Linked DNA regions of Schizosaccharomyces pombe. The protein of the gene in region 2 binds, or shares a complex with, the protein of the main gene of each other region. Each region holds a gene or a part of one and is shown on either strand. Other genes may lie near its edges. The genes, in order: lsm1, lsm6, lsm8 and lsm3.

The links.
Region 1: lsm6 (region 2) and lsm1 share a complex: the UniProt entries of both Schizosaccharomyces pombe proteins name them as parts of the heptameric LSM1-LSM7 complex.
Region 3: lsm6 (region 2) and lsm8 share a complex: the UniProt entries of both Schizosaccharomyces pombe proteins name them as parts of the heptameric LSM2-LSM8 complex.
Region 4: lsm6 (region 2) and lsm3 share a complex: the UniProt entries of both Schizosaccharomyces pombe proteins name them as parts of the heptameric LSM2-LSM8 complex.

Annotation. Positions count from the first base shown.
Region 1 is NC_003423.3:1,282,925-1,288,056, forward strand, and holds lsm1 (mRNA-decapping complex subunit Lsm1), read right to left. Parts: upstream 2,293-5,132; 5' UTR 2,161-2,292; coding exon 2,097-2,160; intron 2,049-2,096; coding exon 1,980-2,048; intron 1,932-1,979; coding exon 1,816-1,931; intron 1,739-1,815; coding exon 1,565-1,738; 3' UTR 1,414-1,564; downstream 1-1,413. Other genes in the region: pig-A family phosphatidylinositol N-acetylglucosaminyltransferase subunit Gpi3, read left to right, coding at 1-66, 122-399, 443-558, 602-1,401; DNA polymerase epsilon subunit Dpb4, read left to right, coding at 3,219-3,391, 3,524-3,642, 3,681-4,021; AP-endonuclease Apn2, read left to right, coding at 4,482-5,132. UniProt on the Schizosaccharomyces pombe protein: Component of the cytoplasmic LSM1-LSM7 complex which is involved in mRNA degradation by activating the decapping step. The LSM1-LSM7 complex loads onto the 3'-end of single stranded RNA.
Region 2 is NC_003424.3:3,921,929-3,926,875, reverse strand, and holds lsm6 (U6 snRNP-associated protein Lsm6), read left to right. Parts: upstream 1-2,749; 5' UTR 2,750-2,796; coding exon 2,797-2,881; intron 2,882-2,990; coding exon 2,991-3,104; intron 3,105-3,154; coding exon 3,155-3,183; 3' UTR 3,184-3,290; downstream 3,291-4,947. Other genes in the region: DNA-directed RNA polymerase I complex subunit Rpa49, read left to right, coding at 1-893; sec67 (translocation subcomplex subunit Sec72), read right to left, coding at 1,545-2,123; inositol phosphorylceramide mannosyltransferase activity Imt1, read right to left, coding at 3,563-4,522. UniProt on the Schizosaccharomyces pombe protein: Component of LSm protein complexes, which are involved in RNA processing and may function in a chaperone-like manner. Component of the cytoplasmic LSM1-LSM7 complex which is involved in mRNA degradation by activating the decapping step.
Region 3 is NC_003421.2:2,275,565-2,280,044, reverse strand, and holds lsm8 (U6 snRNP-associated protein Lsm8), read right to left. Parts: upstream 2,168-4,480; 5' UTR 2,144-2,167; coding exon 2,119-2,143; intron 2,065-2,118; coding exon 1,896-2,064; intron 1,833-1,895; coding exon 1,742-1,832; downstream 1-1,741. Other genes in the region: exosome subunit Csl4, read right to left, coding at 167-712. UniProt on the Schizosaccharomyces pombe protein: Component of the nuclear LSM2-LSM8 complex, which is involved in spliceosome assembly. The LSM2-LSM8 complex plays a role in the biogenesis of the spliceosomal U4/U6-U5 tri-snRNP complex by accelerating prp24-mediated annealing of U4/U6 di-snRNA.
Region 4 is NC_003423.3:1,820,404-1,825,759, forward strand, and holds lsm3 (U6 snRNP-associated protein Lsm3), read right to left. Parts: upstream 2,326-5,356; 5' UTR 2,271-2,325; coding exon 2,253-2,270; exon of another isoform or gene 2,212-2,252; coding exon 2,119-2,211; exon of another isoform or gene 2,112-2,118; intron 2,093-2,111; exon of another isoform or gene 2,049-2,092; coding exon 2,031-2,048; exon of another isoform or gene 1,977-2,030; coding exon 1,862-1,976; exon of another isoform or gene 1,805-1,861; intron 1,761-1,804; coding exon 1,723-1,760; 3' UTR 1,057-1,722; downstream 1-1,056. Other genes in the region: translation elongation factor EF-Tu Tuf1, read right to left, coding at 1-820, 872-1,006; mrpl10 (mitochondrial 54S ribosomal protein uL15m), read left to right, coding at 2,533-3,297; Nop52 family nucleolar protein, read left to right, coding at 4,159-4,201, 4,246-4,353, 4,410-4,698, 4,881-5,094. UniProt on the Schizosaccharomyces pombe protein: Component of LSm protein complexes, which are involved in RNA processing and may function in a chaperone-like manner. Component of the cytoplasmic LSM1-LSM7 complex which is involved in mRNA degradation by activating the decapping step.

The DNA.
Region 1 (5,132 bases), on a different chromosome or scaffold from region 2:
TATAAGGATCGAGTTGGCGTCAGATACTTAACTAATGGGCTAACCGTTTACTACGTGCCGTTACATGTAAGTTTTTAATTGAAATTTTGATCGCGCATAGCGTTGAAACTAAACAATGCAGACTGTGTATCGTGAAACAACATTTCCTTCCTTTTTTTCCTTTTTTCCAATTTTCCGCAATATAGTCATTAGAGAAAATATCGAAATAGTCCACGGTCATGGCAGTTTATCCTTTCTATGCCATGATGCTATTCTGCATGCTCGTACAATGGGCTTGAAAACTTGTTTTACCGACCACTCTTTGTTTGGTTTTGCAGATGCTGGCAGCATCGTTACAAATAAGTTATTAAAATTTACGATGAGCGATGTAAATCATGTTATTTGTGTCTCTCACACTTGGTAAGTATCTCATGAGCAAGTATTTAAATTATTAACTAAGAAGCCGCGAAAATACGGTGCTTCGTGCAGTTCTAAATCCAAAAAGAGTATCCGTGATTCCCAATGCCTTAGTAGCGGAAAACTTTCAGCCAGACCCATCTAAAGCTTCAAAAGATTTCTGTGAGTTTTTTCGTTTATTAAGGAAAAAATCTAACATTTTTAGTAACCATAGTAGTAATCTCAAGGCTTTACTATAACAAAGGCATTGATCTTTTAATCGCAGTTATACCCAGAATTTGTGCGCAACACCCTAAAGTACGATTTGTTATTGCTGGCGACGGACCCAAGTCAATCGATTTGGAACAAATGCGAGAAAAGTATATGTTACAGGATCGCGTTGAAATGCTTGGTTCTGTAAGACATGATCAAGTTCGTGATGTGATGGTCAGGGGTCATATTTATTTACATCCTAGTTTGACCGAAGCTTTCGGCACTGTTTTAGTTGAAGCCGCAAGCTGTGGTCTTTATGTGATTTCTACAAAAGTGGGAGGTGTTCCTGAAGTCTTGCCTTCCCACATGACACGATTCGCCCGTCCTGAAGAGGATGATTTAGCTGATACACTTTCGAGTGTTATTACTGATTATCTTGACCATAAAATCAAAACCGAAACTTTCCATGAGGAGGTTAAGCAAATGTACTCGTGGATAGATGTCGCGGAAAGGACAGAAAAGGTTTACGACAGTATATGTTCAGAGAATAATCTTAGACTAATAGACCGTCTAAAGCTTTATTACGGATGTGGGCAATGGGCTGGTAAGCTATTTTGTTTACTCATAGCTATAGATTATCTTGTAATGGTTTTACTAGAATGGATTTGGCCAGCATCTGATATTGACCCAGCGGTTGACCGCGTATCCTCTACTTTCAAAATTTCTAAGCAGAACTTTGACGAATCTCTGGTATTAACGGACCCCAAAAAAAAGACAAAGATAAAAACTGCATGTTTAAAAGATGCACAATGATTACTAAACTTTGAACGAACGGTAATGGGATTATGACGATTCATGTCTTAAAAATTACATTACATCCATTTAAAAGGGGAATAAACAGCGGTCGAGATAGCTTTCTATCGTGACTGTAAACAAACGGTATAGCAATATTGTGATAAATTTGTTCAACCGTTGTCTAATACAAATCATCATGTCCGCCGTCAACACTAAAGCCTACAGAATGAAGGTACTTGCCCTTCTCACGTATATTTTTCTTCTTCTCTTCTTCATGAAGCTTCGCCAAAGGATACAGTTCTTCAGCAGGCATACGTCGCAATTGTTTGACTGCATCATACTCCTTATCCAAATCCTTTTCGAAATATTTAGCCCACGTTCAAAGAAATTTATAAAGATGCTCGAATATTTTATGTTACAAACGAAACTTACCAATTCACCTAAAAGCACGACGTTCTCGCCCCGAACAATATACACACCTCTGTCTATGTCCCCGTACATATCATCCACATAGATCCTCTCAATCGTGTATTGCAACATTAAATTTGCTACACAGTTAGTAAACTCACTTATGCGCCTATTCACGCAAACCATACCAAATTGATCAAAGGACCTTAAAATTCCAATCAGTTTTTTTCCATCTCGTAAAACAACAATCACTTTTCCTAAAAGGTAAAGTTAGATCAAGGAAAACATTGGAAAAAACACCGTACTGTCTACGTAGTCAACAAGTGACCCAGAAGTTGTGAATGGGATAATCTGTGTAGCTTGATTCATTCAGCTATTATTTGGATGTAGCATAAACTAATAATTTAATTTAGATTTAACTTTCTATTTCTTTTATAAACGCCTGATGACTTTATTTGAGTGTTTTCCTTAAAAAACGAGTTCGAGGAGATGGTTAGAAGCAAGTGCTCTGAGGTCGTCAAATCTGGAATCCTAAATTCTCCCTGTTTAACCCTAAAAGTGCTTCTGAAGTTTAAATGTTATTCGTTTGTTATGTTTTTTTGCTAATTGTAAATTAAATTATTTGGTTTTTCCATTTCTAAACTTGCCCATCATTGAATGTTGTAATCTGACTTTCTAGTTATAAAGGGAAGTCGGTCTTCACAAAAATTAAAGAACAAAAACATGTATATTTTTGATCACAGATTGTAAAAAGGGAATCTAATTATACTCAAGCTACCTAACAATTTTTCAGCATCATAAGCGGATTAGTTCATTGAAAGGCTCAACATTTTGCGAAGAACAGAAATAAATAATTTGATGATTTTTATCAATTCCAAAATCGAACTTGTAAAAATGTTGCCAATCCCATTTGTAATATCCCTATTCTGAGCTATTTCGACTGAGAAGAGATTGCCTATTATTCTCTTAGAACGTTCATTGAACGTTTTTGGAGTGTTCTGAAAAAAGATAATAAATTTAGTTGTTTTTATCTATTAATTACAATCAAAAATCGAGCCTTTAATAATGTATTGTATGGTTATCAAAAAGCTTTATTTATTTCTAACAACGCTAAAAAACTTTTTTTTTTACTCATTTAATATAAACAAAACAGTACAACTATTTAGTTTTAAGAAATTTGATAGCATTTCTACAAATGTTTCAACTCTAAGGCTCTCTCGGATTCTGCTCATAACGCACAGATAGTGTTTAGTGAAAATTGACAGAAATAGGCGACTCAGTGAATTTATTATACATTAATTAGCTAAAAAGAAGCAACCGCCTTTCTCTGTGATTATCGTTTGGTGACCATAGGATGATATTTGGATTGGATTTATAAAAGACTTGTATACAGCGTTTGTAAAAGATCTAGCGGCTGGAAAATCAATATGAATCAAGATAAATCGAAAGAAACTTCCGAATTGGATGATCTGGCGCTTCCTCGATCGATCATTATGCGATTAGTCAAAGGTGTCTTACCTGAAAAGAGTCTTGTACAAAAAGAAGCTCTCAAGGCTATGATCAATTCAGCAACTCTTTTTGTTAGTTTTCTAACATCCGCGTATGTAATCTATATAACTATATAACCATATTGAAGGGCTTGTATGATGAAAGAATTTATTATATAATTGCCAATTTTATTTTCTTCTGGAAACACTTTGTATATGAATGAATAAAGACTAACGTTACTTAGTTCTGGGGAAATTGCTACGAATAATAACAGAAAAATTCTTATGCCTCAAGACGTTTTGAATGCGCTCGATGAAATTGAGTATCCAGAATTCTCTAAAACGTTAAAAAAACATCTCGAAGGTATGTTTCTTACTCTGTACTTCTTCTAACTATTAAAGCATATGAGCTTGCCTTGAAAGAAAAACGATTGAAACTCCCTAACGTATCAGATGTTGATAACAGAAAGAAAGCCAAAATAGACGCGCATGACACTACTCCTCTAGATGAAGAAAAAGACGAATTAGAAGAAGAACGAATTGCGGAGGATATAGCACAAAATGAAGTTGAGCAAAATATTGATGATGTGGAGGACCTCGAAGAAGTGAATGATACATTAGACGCAAACGCAGAATCTCCTCAAATAGAAACCATTCATCTTACAGATGCTACGGGAAACCCAATTGAAGATAGCTCTGAATCCGACTCAGAAGAATCTCTTCAACTTAATGATTCTTCGTAATTACTGTTGGTTAAATGTATATGAAGATTGTCAATAGTCCTAACTTACATGGAGAGCTAATCATATTTTTTTACACGAAAAACTAAACCTTCTTTATTTTTTAATGGATTTTTTGGATACCTGTTAATACCCCAATTTACATCCTTGTATCCAAACATAGCTTTTTTAAACAGCAGTTTGAGATAATGTCTTTCTAGCACAACATGTATACTCGTTTAATGACATATATTTAGAAAGAATCATTAGATTGTTTACAGTTGTAACTCAATATTAGTCAATCTAGAATTTTTTTGAAAATCAACATTCAATAGGGAGAAGGTCGAAAAGAAAAGAAAAAGTTCATTCTCGAATTAAACAAATGCATTTTATTTTCCATCAGATTAACTTATGTCAACAATTGTAAATTCAAAAGTCTGTCGCCTTTACCTTCGCACACTTTCTCTACGTAAAAATTATAAGAATGCGAATTCTAAGTTGGAATGTGAACGGTATACAGAATCCATTCAATTATTTTCCATGGAATAAAAAAAATTCCTACAAAGAGATATTTCAAGAGTTACAGGCTGATGTAATATGTGTTCAAGAATTGAAAATGCAGAAAGACAGCTTTCCTCAACAATATGCAGTTGTTGAGGGATTCGACAGTTATTTTACATTTCCTAAGATCAGAAAAGGCTATAGTGGGGTTGGATTTTATGTAAAAAAAGATGTTGCTATTCCAGTGAAAGCAGAAGAGGGAATTACTGGCATCCTGCCAGTACGAGGACAAAAATATTCATATTCAGAAGCACCGGAGCATGAAAAGATAGGATTTTTCCCAAAAGACATTGACAGAAAAACTGCTAATTGGATTGATAGTGAAGGAAGGTGTATATTATTAGATTTTCAGATGTTCATCCTAATCGGTGTTTACTGTCCAGTAAACTCTGGAGAAAATAGACTAGAATATCGACGGGCCTTTTATAAAGCCTTACGAGAAAGAATTGAAAGATTGATAAAGGAAGGAAATCGAAAAATCATTCTCGTTGGGGATGTGAATATTTTGTGTAATCCTATTGACACTGCTGATCAAAAAGACATTATTCGAGAGAGTCTTATTCCAAGCATCATG
Region 2 (4,947 bases):
AGAAGCATGGAACTGTAAGCGGTACTGTTATGGAACAGCGTGCCAACTTGGGTTTGGCATTTGGTACAAGAAAAAGTCAAAAAGCTATTATGGAAGAGTCCGCCAATCGTGTCAAAGCTGAAACTTTGGGAGATGTCAAGGATCAATTGGTTAGTAATGTTCAAAAAGCTACTGAAGCACTTCCAACGCAAGAAGATATCGCTGCTGCTCAAGCGCAAGATCGCCCTATTCCTCCTGTCAATGTCGGTGCTGAATCCATTGAAGATGCATACAAATTGGAGGACATTATTCCCAAAGAAGAGTTTTCAGCTATTTACATTAAGCCTCTGTTAGAAAACCCTGACGAGCGCAATTGGGCCAAATTATTGCCGTACCGTCACTCCTTGTTTATTAATGAACGCTTCCAGCGATTACTTTCCATTGAGGAGGTTGACCAGAAGCGGGCGAGAATTTTGTATTACATTTCTCTTTTGCAAGCTTTTTTGTTTTCTCGTCGTTCTGTGGGCAACCGTGAAACTTTACGTAAAAAATTGGCTGATCCACCAGAGATTCTTATTGATGGGTTGATTAAACGTTTTACTCAAACCACCGGTATTGGTAGCGTCCAAGTATCATCTCGAGAAGTTGATAAAATCATATGTTATATTCTGGTATTGTGCTTAATCGTTGATAATTACTCAACTGATGTTCTTACCTTGGCAAATGACTTGAATGTCAAGACCATGAAGGCTAATGAGCTTTTTAGAACGGTGGGTTGTCGAATTATGGCTTACACCGAAACTCAAAGAATGGCTTTAGGTCTTAACAAAACTGATGCTAAAAATCATAAGCGTGCAGTATTAAAAATTCCCCTAGAGTTCCCTAAACCTCGACGTGGACGCGCTAGAAATTAGAGAAAAGTACAGCGTTGTTTATTTTCAAAAAAATGTGTGTGTGTTTTTTTAAAAAAAAAGAAGGACGGTATATATAGAAGAAACAACTACTGAAGTTCGTGATGTTCGATATCTCCACTGCTTATAATTGTTTTGGACGTCAAAGCGACATTGAGATATCCAAATAAAGTACCAACAAATTTTCAGAAACTTCTTATGGGAATACGGGATTAAAGGTGTTTTTTTATTATAGTGGAAGTACAGAAAATAATAAAATTTTGCATTGTATAATACTTTTGCTATAAGGCAAAGAAGGGTGACTTAGATGGTAACTAACTTTCAAGCAAAAAAGTTACCGTTTTACTCAATAAATCCTTTGGAAAGTTATAACATTGTTGTTTGACTATAGGGTAACAAATGACAATCGAAACTTAGATTCATGTTCAAAACCACCGTATTTATGATGTGCTAGGGGATGGTCTTTTGTATACAGTAATTGCTACAATCACCTGAGCATTAAATGAATTGGCAATAATATCAAGTTAGTATTAATTTTGAAATGGATTAATTATGTGGCCGTAAGTGTTTATGGTAATATGAAACAACACAAAGAAAGGAAATAAAAGGAGCGTGCAAATCCAATGATCATTTGAAACCATGATACAGTTGGTTTTAATCTTTTTCAGTATAACTTGCCCATAAAGCCACCAACTCGTTTCTCGTAACTGGCTCTGCCAAAATTAAACCGTCTCGTACAACCTGTTTAGCCTCTTCTATGCGATGCATTGCCTCCAAAGCCTTTGCTTTCCTATAATAACACTTTCCATAATTATTTCGAATTTTCAAAGCAGCATTTGCATCTGCTAAAGCTTCGGGGAATTGGGAAAGGGCAATCTCAGCAGCCGCCCGATTACACAACATAACACTTGCTTCTTCACGCGTAAGAATCGACGGTTCCCAAGTACAGCGATTCAAAGCGAGTTGTAATGCTAATCCATATAACTTTTTTGCCTCCTCATACTTTTTGCGTTTAAATGCCTCGTTTGCAGTTTGCTTCATCTTATTAACTTGGGTAGACAAGGCCATATTTGGCTTAGCAGGAGGATAGGGAGGTGGAATAAAAAAAGGATATTTAAACGTAGCTAATGACTTGGCGTATTCATTAACCTTTTTGCCCAACTCCAATTCCTTCCCACTCCATTTTGACACATCAACTTGAGGTGCAACCACCGATTCTTGTTTAGCAACCATCGAAGCAAAGTTTTAAAAGAAGAAGTAGTGAAGCTGCTCTTAATGTAAAGCACAAAGCTCGGATGGATTATTATGTACAAATAATTTAGAGAAGACAAGCAATGTTCAATGCAAGTAGTAAACTTGAAAGTGTTAGCAGAACGTGTCACAATACTTTAACACACATAAATACTAACTACGCAGTTTGTTATTTAATTTTAACGATGTGTAGAACTGCAATGAGCTTTATGATCTATTATATTGCAATATTGCAAAAAGCAGGTAATACAAGTAGCAACCGAGGACATATATAATATTTTATGTACGATCTATTGTTACCTATCATTAATATAGCTTTAACTAAACTGAGGAACGAGATTCAGCTGTACCTCTATTTATAATTGTTCTAAAGGGTGTTTTTAATAAAATTTATTTAGTTAGCGGATAGTTACCCATAATTATTAATAACCAGATCTCAACTGATATTCCAACATATCACATATAGTGATACGCAACGAAGTGTATATTAAAGTAGTGTAGTCTTGCACGGTATACATTTTTGCACATAATGCTATTCTTCATTATATGCAAGAGCACCCTGAACTGAGGTTACCAATGTAGTTGGTGTCTACTTCAATTTACGACTCACAGAAAACCCTTCAAAGGCTGAATTCTCTAAACCAACTGGAAGATAATGGATTCTTCTCCTAATGAGTTTTTGAATAAGGTCATCGGCAAAAAAGTTCTTATCCGGTTAAGTTCTGGTGTCGACTATAAAGGTATTTAACATGAATTGCGTCGGAGACAATGCAAGTTTGCAATTTGTTTCTATCGCTTTAACTTTTTTTCCGTTATTTAGGGTTTGTTAATACTAAACCTGTTTTTTAGGAATCCTCAGTTGTCTTGATGGTTATATGAACTTGGCCCTTGAACGCACAGAAGAATACGTTAATGGCAAGAAGACGAATGTTTATGGAGATGCATTTATTCGTGGAAACAATGGTATGGTATTTATATTAAAGTGCTTTGATTTCCTAACTACCGTCCAACAGTCTTATATGTTTCTGCTTTAGATGATTAGAGACGATTTCTAGCCCTTCAATACGATATACGATTATGGTACAAGATTGGTTAAAGTAATTTGCATAAAATACAAATTATCGTTAAAAAATACAAACACGTGTATACATAATAAGTTCTTATGCTAATGTTGAAAAGAAGAGCCAGAGTTCAATGAAGGATATATATTTGTAGATATTGATGTATCATTTAGAAGTAAATGTAATTTATAGCCCTTTAAAAAAAACCGTTTTCGTTAAACAAACACAGAGACGATGACTTTGGCATCATTTTTTTTTTTCAAGTTGTCATCAAATGAAACTATAATATACACTTCTTTTACCTTTGAATTTCTTCAATAGCCAAATCACCCATTTAGCCCATCTATAGAAACGAAGGGACTAGGGATATAGCTCCTGTATTTGTGAGTGAGAAGCCGCAATTCCACGTTTCCTTCTCCGTTTAAAGACAACTCTTAGACATAAGAAAAGGATAGCGAACGCAGCCAAAAAAGCAAAAAATAAGACAGATTTTGAATTTCGGTCTATCCAAATAAATACTTTAGCATCAGTGCCATGCCAGCTATCACCAGTAACATGTGAAAAAAATGAATTAGGTCCGTTTCCATAAAGTAAAGCAGGTAAGACGCGCACTGGTTCATGCGGCGTAAGTAAGTATTTACAAAATTGATAAGATAGGAATAAAGGTCCTGCACTGAGAAACACCGTGGGATATTTAGTGAAATAACGGTGGTTAAACTTTGACAAGTTATGTATCGCCTGATACAGAAATGGATGCTTTGGTGTAGCAGCAAACCAATCATTGCTATACCCAATGGGTTCCGTCGAAGGCAATATAAAAGTAGCTTTGCTTAGAAGAGGATCCATGGGTTTTTTACACCCAATATCCAAATCCATGTATACGCCGCCGTAATGATAGAGAATAAAGTAACGTGCAGCATCAAATTTCTGGATATTATAAGGATAGCTGTGGAAAACAGGCATAAACCAGGAATAATTTTCGTTCATAAAAGACATAATTTTTTCATCTGTCCATAAAATGAACTGCCAGCCGTTTTCATCAGGATGTTGGCGCCTGCAAGAGTTAACAGTATTAGACCATCTCTCTGGAATATTTTCATCCTTCCAAAGCTGGTGAATCACTCTTGGTATTTTTTCCATTTCTCCTGGAGCACTAGTATCATCTGATACATCCGATAAACTTAAGGTAAAAGGTTCAGTCGCTTTCCCTGGTACCATAAATCTCAATGTGTTATAAAGGGAATAGCCCCAGAGGATCAACAAAATAACGCCGCATATAGGTATTCCCTTTAAGAGAAGCTTGCGACATTTCCTTCCCATGATTGCAAACAGATGTAATTCACCTCGGCAGCAAAACGATAAAACAAAAGAAGCGAAAAAACAAGAAAGGTGATATGGTGAGCAAAATTCACTTGTTCTAATAAGAAAACCGTTGAAAAATAAAATGAATATTTAATTTGTTCACGATGTGCGCATAAAAAACAAATAACCAGAATATATGCAGTGATAGTGTTGAAAAGTGTTTCAGTAGAACAGAAAACCCAATATTAATAAATTGAAGGTTTAATAGAATTAGAAGCTCAGAATAGGTTGAAAAGAATAAATACGTTATGGGGATGGCTTAGAATCGCTGCATATTCAAACTTGACAAGTAACGAAAAGAATAAATTAAAGCCCGCGAGCACTTCAAATGCACAGATAAATAAAAGATATGTACAAACAAAGAAAAAAAATATGTTTGATTC
Region 3 (4,480 bases), on a different chromosome or scaffold from region 2:
ACTTCCAATATTTCTATATTCAATATTATTTTTATCCGTGTTCCGTATATTCGTATCATAAAATCTCTAACAATTTCAGAATTTTTTTTTTGTTAGGAAAGAACGAACCGAGAGGGAAAAAAAACTATCAGGTTATATCAAAACAAAGCAATTTTATCCCCTCATTTTATTCGTCTAATATAGGTTTAGCACATTTACGCATTTCCGTATATCCTGATTTTGTTTGCATATGCTGATAATCCACCGGAAACATTTGCTCTCCTGTTTCACTAGACTGAGCAAAAATCACACCAAGATCATTTCGAGCTGTTGTTAAAAAGTACGAAGAGCCGTCTCCAAGTGAAATTACAAGTGCTCTGACAATATCACCCGGTCGGAATGAATTTTGCACTTTGACTTTATTTTTCTCAGTAGCTCTAATATCCTGCACATGTATTACCCCTTGAAATTCATCTTTGGTGCAGACATCGTCAACGACTGAGATGTTTACAGTTGCTTGACGAGCATTGATCCTGCTGACGCGAGCTAAAACAATAGATCCGACATTAGGTAAAACGGCTGTCTCTTCAACTTTTCTTGGGTACGTTACAGAATTTTTCTCTGGATCAAAGATGCCAGTTCGTGTGGAAATAATATAATCTCCTCTCTTTACCGTTCCTTCACCGTTAGGAGCCCCTCTCGCGACCACCTGTCCAGGGAGAACCAAATTCATATTTAACGGCTTTAATAAACTAAAAATAAAGGAATCAAGTCCGTTTTGTATGGCTGTAAAAAATTAATTGAAAAAAAGTTGCTGTAAGCACAAAGGTCGTTGTAAACTGTAGGTTACAATGTAACCTAAAGTCACTGCTGCAGAAATTTCAGTTTATTTTGCTAAATTGAGAAAATGAAATTGCAAAGGCATTTAATTATCAAACAGTTTTTCTGCTCTTCTTTCAACAAAAATTTTTTCTTGATAATCCCAAAGCTTGGAAAGTAAGTTCACAAAACGATGCCAAAATAAAAAATCACTAAAAAAAAAATATGAGCAGCAAATATAATAAATCATTTTTTTTGTTTAACTCAAATGATCTTTGTAAATTGGACCATGATGCTGAAATATTTCTCAAGGTAGAGAAATTTTCCAGTGTAAACATTAAGCGTGACAGCAAAAATGAAGAATGTTATGCACAGTAAATGATATAAATTGTGATGTTTTTTTCCATATAATAACAAAAATCAATGATAAATATAAAGTCTTTAAACAAGTTGACCACAAATTTCAAAATCAAAGTGCATAAATCAAATTAAGGAAACAAAGGTATGTTAACGTTCCCAAGAATCATTTAAGAAAGATGAAACCCACAAAATAAGAAGAAAAATGAGTTTGTGATCCACAAATTTAACAAGAAACCAAGAATTTTTTAAATTCTGAAAGAACCGATGTCCTCGAACTCGGTATTTTAAACCATTTTTTTAAGTATTTTCGTTCAAGTGTCAACTCTTTGTCATCAGAATTAATCTACAACCTCAGTCATATTTTTTTAAAAAAATAAAGAAAGAATTTTCACTTCTTTCTACGAGCTAATAGCTTCCTGATAAAAGACATGCTGCAAGGTATGAATATATCGTGGAAAGCTTAACAAAATTTGCAAAGGATTCGCCCGCACAAAGAGGAAATATAACAAAAAAATCATTAACCCAAATCCTATGTAGCCTTAAACGTTTGTTCTCATTTGAAGTTTAACGTCCGGTTTTTGTATTAATGCACAACGTCAGGTATTGCTTCACCTCGAATTTTGGTCCATTCTATTTCTGAATCTAATTCCTCATTCACTAATCCAACCATTGCTCTAAAAATAACTATTAGATTATTGATTTACGTACCGCCAGTACAAGGCTCTGCGTCCACTTACACATTTTCTCCACGTAATAAATAAACGCCTAAAGGAATTGTTTCCATGTCTTGATCCATGCTAATAATTCTTTCAAATGAGTCTGAAAGTATAAGATTGGTCGTGTGATCGAATCCCTTCAGGGAACCTAGCACAACGCGACCATCGTTTGTAATGACTTGAACCCTTTCTAACGAACATCTATATTAGTCACTTCATTCTCTATTGAAAATTTGACACTTACGTTCCATAAAATCAGCAAGACTCATGATAAAGTGATTTAAGTATTAGTTGTATTACAGTATGGTAGTGCTAAACAAAAGTAGGTAGTCTTACAGCATGTATTTCAAGTGACATGATACTTTTTATAAAACATACAGCAAAAACAAAAAAATCAAGAATTTTAATAAACTAATCAAATTGAAAACACCTTTTTGTCTTAAAATTTTGAAGCTAACTTTGCTATCAATATAAGAAGTAACCCAATTATATTTTTAGTTTGGAAAGGAACACAATCTTGTGTCAAAAGAAAATTAAAGTAATTTGTGAAGCGCACGATTTTTAAATGATCTTTTGTTTTATTAATCAACGAAATTTATTTTGTAAAATAGATCTATTAAAGGAAAAGGTATTGAACATTATTCCAGCTATATCCGGCTCACGAATCCTTCCTCATCATTACAAGCAACCGTTCTTCTAACTAAAAATACCCGTTGTAAACAAATATACAAATCTTATGGACGTGGGGAATATAGATGTATATATTTGACTACAGTTATATTCTTGAATTACTTCATTTGATAGTTGTTGAGTTTAAATCATTGAAGGATAATTCTTCTTTTGAAGGTTTGCTTAAATAATTTGGAAGAAATAAGTATTTAAGAATTCCGTTTTATAAGAATTTTTTCACAACTTTAGATTGTTATCGATGTGCCTTACTATCTTAGTTTTTGAATGAAAAATTAATGACGGCTCGAATATAAAGGGGACGGTCTTCGCTCTTTATTCAGCAAAGAACGTATGGAATAGAAAGAATTTGTACTAAATGTGTCACCATAAGTGCGAAGCTTTAGGGTTTTTACATTATAAGACAAGTTAGATTTTTGTTTTAAAGGTGGCATTTAGAATATAGACAGATGAAGTTAAAGGGCGCAGCTCGTTTTCCTTGGCACTTTTTTACACTCATCTCAGTACTTGTATTATCTTCTCAAAGCAGCTTGGTAGTACAATTTTCTTGGATATTATCCCTATCTGATAAAATAAAGTTTCGCTAATAATTAAGCGAAGACTTACAACTTTGACGAAGCAGCACACAGAACTAAACCAGTAGATCATAGTGACTATAAAAGCAAATCTACTTAAAGAGGCTGAGAAATTGCCATCGTGAGTTTATTTATTTTCAGCTATATTCTTCAATGTAAATTTAAGTATTTATTGAGAAAAATTTAAGAAAGTTAAGTTGTTCGTTATAACGTACAGCAGCTACGAAAGGATATTTATACTACTGTCTCGCAAATAAACATTCTAGCAACTCATTAACATCATAACTTGTGTTGGAATAGTAGACAACTATGATGAATAAAATAAAATAAAAAGGGCAAGTTAGAAATCAGAAATTTATGCTTAATGTTTCATTTGGATTTTCGTTATTTCCAATGTATTCTGAATATACTCATACTTAAACACATATTGTTATATGTTATATTTGTTACATCAGGGGGATCGATATATCATATACTCCACAGTATAGCTAATTTATTTGTAACCCTTTTTGAAGAAATATTTATTTGGTATTGAGAATTAAATTAAATTTAAAGATTTACTATATCATAGCCTATTTACTCAATCTGTTCAAATGTTGCTTTCGCAAACATATTTTTATCAGTCACAATATAATGAAATACACATTTGATTTAAAACAATTTCAAAAAAAAAAAAAGGATGTTGATTAGAATGAAAGAAAAAAAATAAGATTTATATATTTTCAAAACAAAAAAGGTGTAGATATCAATAATAAGAAGACTTAAAATTCTAATAGATCTCGTAACGATCAGTTATTTTAAATTTATAAAATTAAACCACAGTGTATTGTTTTAGAATATATGAATTTAATACTTTCGCTCAACGATTTCTTGATCGATCAACTAAATATGTAATAATATTAATTAAAAAAAAATAAAAAAAATTTGAGATTTTTTCTTTCCTCTTGCTATGAATCACGAAATTTTCTGTATGAACAGAATAGCAATCAACTGGCTTCTCAGACACTTCATAAAACTCGAAATTGTGTCTTCAGGGTTATCGGAATAAATATTATGATTCATAAGCTCTATTGTTAGCTTAAAATTGAATTTGTTATTAATCTAACATATTTGTAAATGGGTTTATGAAGTATTTGAATTTGAGATCTTATTATTACGAATTTAAAATCCAAAGATAATTAAGAAATTAATCAATGGCTTATAAAGTATAGAAAATTAAAGACTAAATTATCAAAGCATTTTTATTTTTAATTTTTTTTAGCGCTCTCATTTAAGACAAACTTTTACTAATACTCCAATTATGAATGATGGTTATTTTGCATACTTATTAAATGATGTACATAT
Region 4 (5,356 bases), on a different chromosome or scaffold from region 2:
GGCCACAATTGTCACCGGCAACGGCGGCATCAAGCTGCTTTTTGAACATTTCAATTCCAGTAACGGTAGTCTTTAAATGGCTACCATAACCGACGATTTCGATTTCAGCACCCTTCTTTAAAGTACCGCGCTCGACACGGCCAGTGACTACAGTTCCGCGACCTGAAATTGAAAAAACGTCCTCGATGGCCATCAAGAAAGGGACATCCGTTTTTCTTTCAGGAAGAGTAATATAACTATCAACAGCTTCCATCAATTTAGTAATACTATTGAGACCAATCTCAGGCTCACGACCCTCTAAGGCACATAAAGCACTGCCGCTAACAATTGGAGTATTGTCACCATCAAATCCGTATTCGGAGAGTAGCTCACGCATTTCCATTTCGACAAGCTCGATCATATCAGGCTCGACCATATCGACTTTATTGATGTATACAACAATTTGCTTTACACCGACTTGACGAGCCAGAAGCAAATGTTCACGAGTTTGAGGCATTTGACCATCGGTAGCAGAAACAACAATGATAGCGCCATCCATTGTAGCAGCACCAGTAATCATATTCTTAATGTAATCGGCGTGACCAGGACAATCCACATGGGCATAGTGACGATTAGCAGTTTCGTATTCAACATGGGCAGATGAAATGGTAATACCACGTGCCTTTTCCTCGGGGGCCTTGTCAATTTGACTATAATCCATAAAACTAGCTTGACCAAGATCAGAAAGGCATTTAGTAATAGCAGCCGTCAACGTCGTTTTACCGTGGTCAACATGACCAATAGTACCAATATTGACATGCGGCTTTTTTCTAACGAACACCTTAAAAAAGTTAACAAGTAATCAAAAAGATGAAGAATGAAAAAAAAATACCTTTTCGTCAGCATAAGTTCGAGCTGGGACGGTGAACCGGTTAATCAAACCTGAAGCGAAAGAAATGCGGTTCAATCGCAAGCAATTTTTTCTAAAGCCTTGAAAGAGGAGAGAGGTAGCTTTAGCTGAATTCATAACGAAGGGAGCGTGTAGGCAGAGGAGAGGTCTCTGGCGCTCGTGTTGTCCTTGAAATAAGTCTCAGCGGTGCGCATCGTTATGAGAATACTATTGACACGAGCATTTCATGAAATAAATGGTCCTGGGTGTTTGGATACAATCAATATTTGTAGAATTTATTTTATTTTGTTCTATTTTACCGCTACGCCTATATATGATGATACGCTTGTTAATAATAAAAAAATACTAGATGAACTAGTGAACAACACCGCCAAATCGAAAGCAATTGATAGTTTTTTTTTATTTGCACAATGAATGGTATTATGTCTCTGATCTCTAAAGGAATGTCAATCTGATTTTGCTAGATCGCAAGAGCAACCACCATGCAAGCAAAAATCGCTTACTATCCTGTCAAGTACAAAGAATAAAACCATTAATGAAAAGTCTCAATGACAAAGCTCAGCGTCTCGTGAATGTTGGTTAACTTCGAAGAGTCTTTTGCTTTTATTAAGTAAAAGGATGTAAGGAATAACAAGAAGTGGTGCGTGACTAAAGAAAGATAAAACTATCCATCCAACGGAATAAAGGAAAATCAAACTTTTCTGTAATATAGAATACTCAAATCAAAAGTCGTTACTATTGTACGAAGAAGCACCTCTAAAGCGAAAAATTTTAAACAAAAGAATGAGATAAAAATATGTAGATAGCTTTGTATAGTAATTTTATTCGTTCCTTTAATTACGAGGTGGAGCAATCAAAATAACCGAATCACCTAAAGTTCATTAGCATTTGGCGAAAAAGGAAAAACAGTTTCGAAAAGGAAAGCTTAATCATGGTCAAACTTTTCGAGCGTAATATTTAGAATCTACGTACCACGAACAAAGAGCATCTCATAATGTTTGCGAATCGTTTTTAAGGCCTTGTCCTTATCGGTCTCTTCATCATCAAAAATAGTTACAATTTCTTCAGCATCTCCTAGTACCATATTCTAAAATACGTGTAAGTAATCCATCCAAATGCGAGTTATGAATATGATTCATACCAAATGTTCATCATAGGCCTACAATCGAGTTAGTATAACCAATTCAGAATAAGAAAAATATTCAAGAAACGTTAAAAAAATTTCATACATGAAGACGGCCATTTAATTCTCTATCTCCCCGTAATTTTACATAAACGATTTCATCCAAAGAAAGCCTCACCAAATCAAGAGGTTCCGCGACCTACAAACATTAGTTACCGAGTTACTGTTGATAAATCTTACTGCCTGTGCCGATTCCATTATAAAGTAAAGGGTTATTATATCTACCAAGCAAGATCGCTGTTGCTGCAATTATGCACTGGCATATGTCAGGAAGAAATAAAGGAGGAAACAAATTCGAATTGCGCAGTGCAGCGATGCTGAATATAGTAATAAAGATATTTTTATGAGACGCTATAGAATTTTACGTATTCGTGTGTGTCCGAATCTTTTGTAATAGTAAACAGCAGCCTTGGACTTATTACCATCTAAACTCGACGAAACCCGTTTTTTGAATTGGAAAATGTTTAATATTTTATCTCGGGTTTGTCGCAGTTCTTCATTTCATGGTTTTTTGAGATCCTCTGGTTATCCAAGATTTGGTGCTAGTTTCCGCGGCATCAGTATGTTGAATGATTTAAACAACAGTGCAAATTATCAGTCAAAGAAGCGAGTGGGTAGAGGCCCTGCGAGCGGTTTAGGAAAAACCTCTGGACGTGGTCATAAAGGATCTGGTCAAAGGCGTGGACGGAGAATTAAACCTGGTTTTGAAGGTGGTCAAACTCCTATCACCAAATTATTTCCTAAAGTTGGTCACAGTACGGGACATTTGAAGAAACCGTTGCGTCTGGGGTTAGGGAGAGTTCAGGAATGGATTGATCGTGGTAGATTGGATGCTAGCAAGACAATTACTATGAAAGACCTCCTCGATAGTAGATGCTGTAGAGGTATTAAACATGGAGTTGAACTTACTGCTGACGAACCTGGACTCCTTAAAACAGCAATTTCCATAGAAGTTTCTAAGGCTACAGTTCAAGCTATACAACAAATCAAAAATGCAGGCGGCAGTATAACAACAGTATATTTCAGCCCGTTGGCGCTACGTGCCCATTTGCATCCTTCAAGTTTTCGTACACCTCCTCGCCCTCCCCTTCCAGTTTCAAAGAAAGACATACGCTACTACACAAATCCACATTTTGCAGGGTATCTTGCCAACGTTAAAAATATTCGAGAGCTATATTATGGCGACCAACGATTCCCCTACGAACCGATTGTTAAAGATAAATAAGTAGTTCCCATATTACATCAGAACTTGATATATGTTCATCAAAAATCCCGCTTTCCTAATATGTCCTTAAAACTTTGTTATGTCTATTGATGATTCCGTGCAGCCTCCTTTACTTTCTTGGATGGGTTACATGTTGAGTTTTGTAAGGAAATATCTGCATCCTTTTCTTAGTACATTTGTATAATTACGTTTCCAATTTCGGTGTTTGAGCTCTCTACTGACTTTTTCGCTTACAGTTCAATACCCATTAGTAATATTTTGAATACCTTTCTCATTCGAAAATATAGCTTCCTTCTTTATCCCCCAAATCCCCTTGTTGTAGTCAGTTCATTCTCTGTCAGATAAACCCTTTCTCACATTTATTCATTTGCTTCATTAGTAGATTTGAGCATTCGCAGTCATGCACTTTTTTTGTATAATCAAGAACCCCTGCCGACTGTTTGTTAAATTATTATCTTTTGCCTTTTTTTGTTTAAAGCTTTCTTAAAATTTTTTCATCCTCCGATTGTCTATCCAACAGGAAAAGATCTTTCAAAGGATCTCCTTTTCAAAGGCATGCAAGGAAGAAGAAAAAGAACATTTGTTGATCAATGGAACGGTTAAAGACTTATATATAAGAATGACTAAGAAAACCGGCATTTGTAATAGAAGTGTAAGCGAACCATAGTAGTACATTAACCTTATGATCAATTAATCTACATAAACGGTCAATTCTAAAAAAAATAATACATATTGACTGGGAAACTCCTTATTTCATATATTAGAAAGGGACATTTATCAACTCTCCAATTAGTGCACTAAAACGCAGTATGGAAGGAACGATGCTAAGAACTGCTTCAACACTTTGTCAATAAACCAACAATGTCGGCTCCGTCGCCGTTTATTAAGAAACTTGCAGCTAATGGTAAATTTCTTACATATAAATGATTAATGTACTAACACTGTAAGATCGAAAAACTCGTGATAAGGCTCTTGAATCGTTGCAGCGGTTTTTAAGCCAAAAGAAAAAATTTGAAAGGTTAGACTTTCTCAAGCTTTGGAAGGGCTTATTTTACTGTATGAATTTTTTTGGGTTATGAATGTAAATCATCTAATTGTTTTTTAATATGCAGGCATGTGGATGGCTGATAAACCCTTATACCAACAGAAACTCTCAGATAATTTAGCCGCGTTGGTTCCAATTGTCTGGATAGACAATAGAATATTATTTCAATCTACTTTTTGGGAAACTATGGGTCGTGAATGGACGGGAATTGATATTTTACGAACAGACAAATTTTACTTGTTAATGCGTAGATTTTGTGCTGCTGCGTTTCGGGATATTCAAACAAGAAGTAAAACTGCTTTGCTGGACAAAGTAGTGGCTGAATATAATCAGATGTGGATGGATGGTCCTTTTAAGTAAGTTGTTTTCGTTCCCGCGTGTGGGAATTTGTTTATTATATAGATTGCTTTTGCGTTGGAGACTTTTAGAAAAGTTTTGCAACGCTTTTACTTCCTGCTTACATCAAACTTGTTGAATAGCTATTTCTTAATTTTTATCATTTTTCTGTTTATTTGGACAGACTACTAACTGCTTTTAGTACCGAAAATCTTGCTTTTCCAAATGGGATTTTATTCCATTTAGCTGATATATGGACTGAGGAATTAAGAAAAGTCTACCCAGAAGATGTACCAAAAGCGGACTGGTATCTTCCTTTTGATTCTACAATCAAGTCAAGTCATAATGTTGTCTTAAGAAAGACGCTTCCCAAACGTCTTGATCGGGTTTCTGAATATACAAAGGATTCACAATAATTAATTGATTCGGCACGTTTATTAGGTTTTGGTGAACTAAAAAAATATATTGGTGGTAATATACAACTTGTGGTTTGTAATAGACATTAATTATTCATATGATTGAACTTTTCATTTCCGTACCCCTACAACAAAAGTTTCGTAGTAATGCTGTTTCTTTTCTTTCTTAAGAATATCCAGATCGTCTTCATGTAGAGTAGATATGTGCTTATATTTTTATAACTCTTAAGAGGTGAAAAGATATAAGTAATCGATATTTACA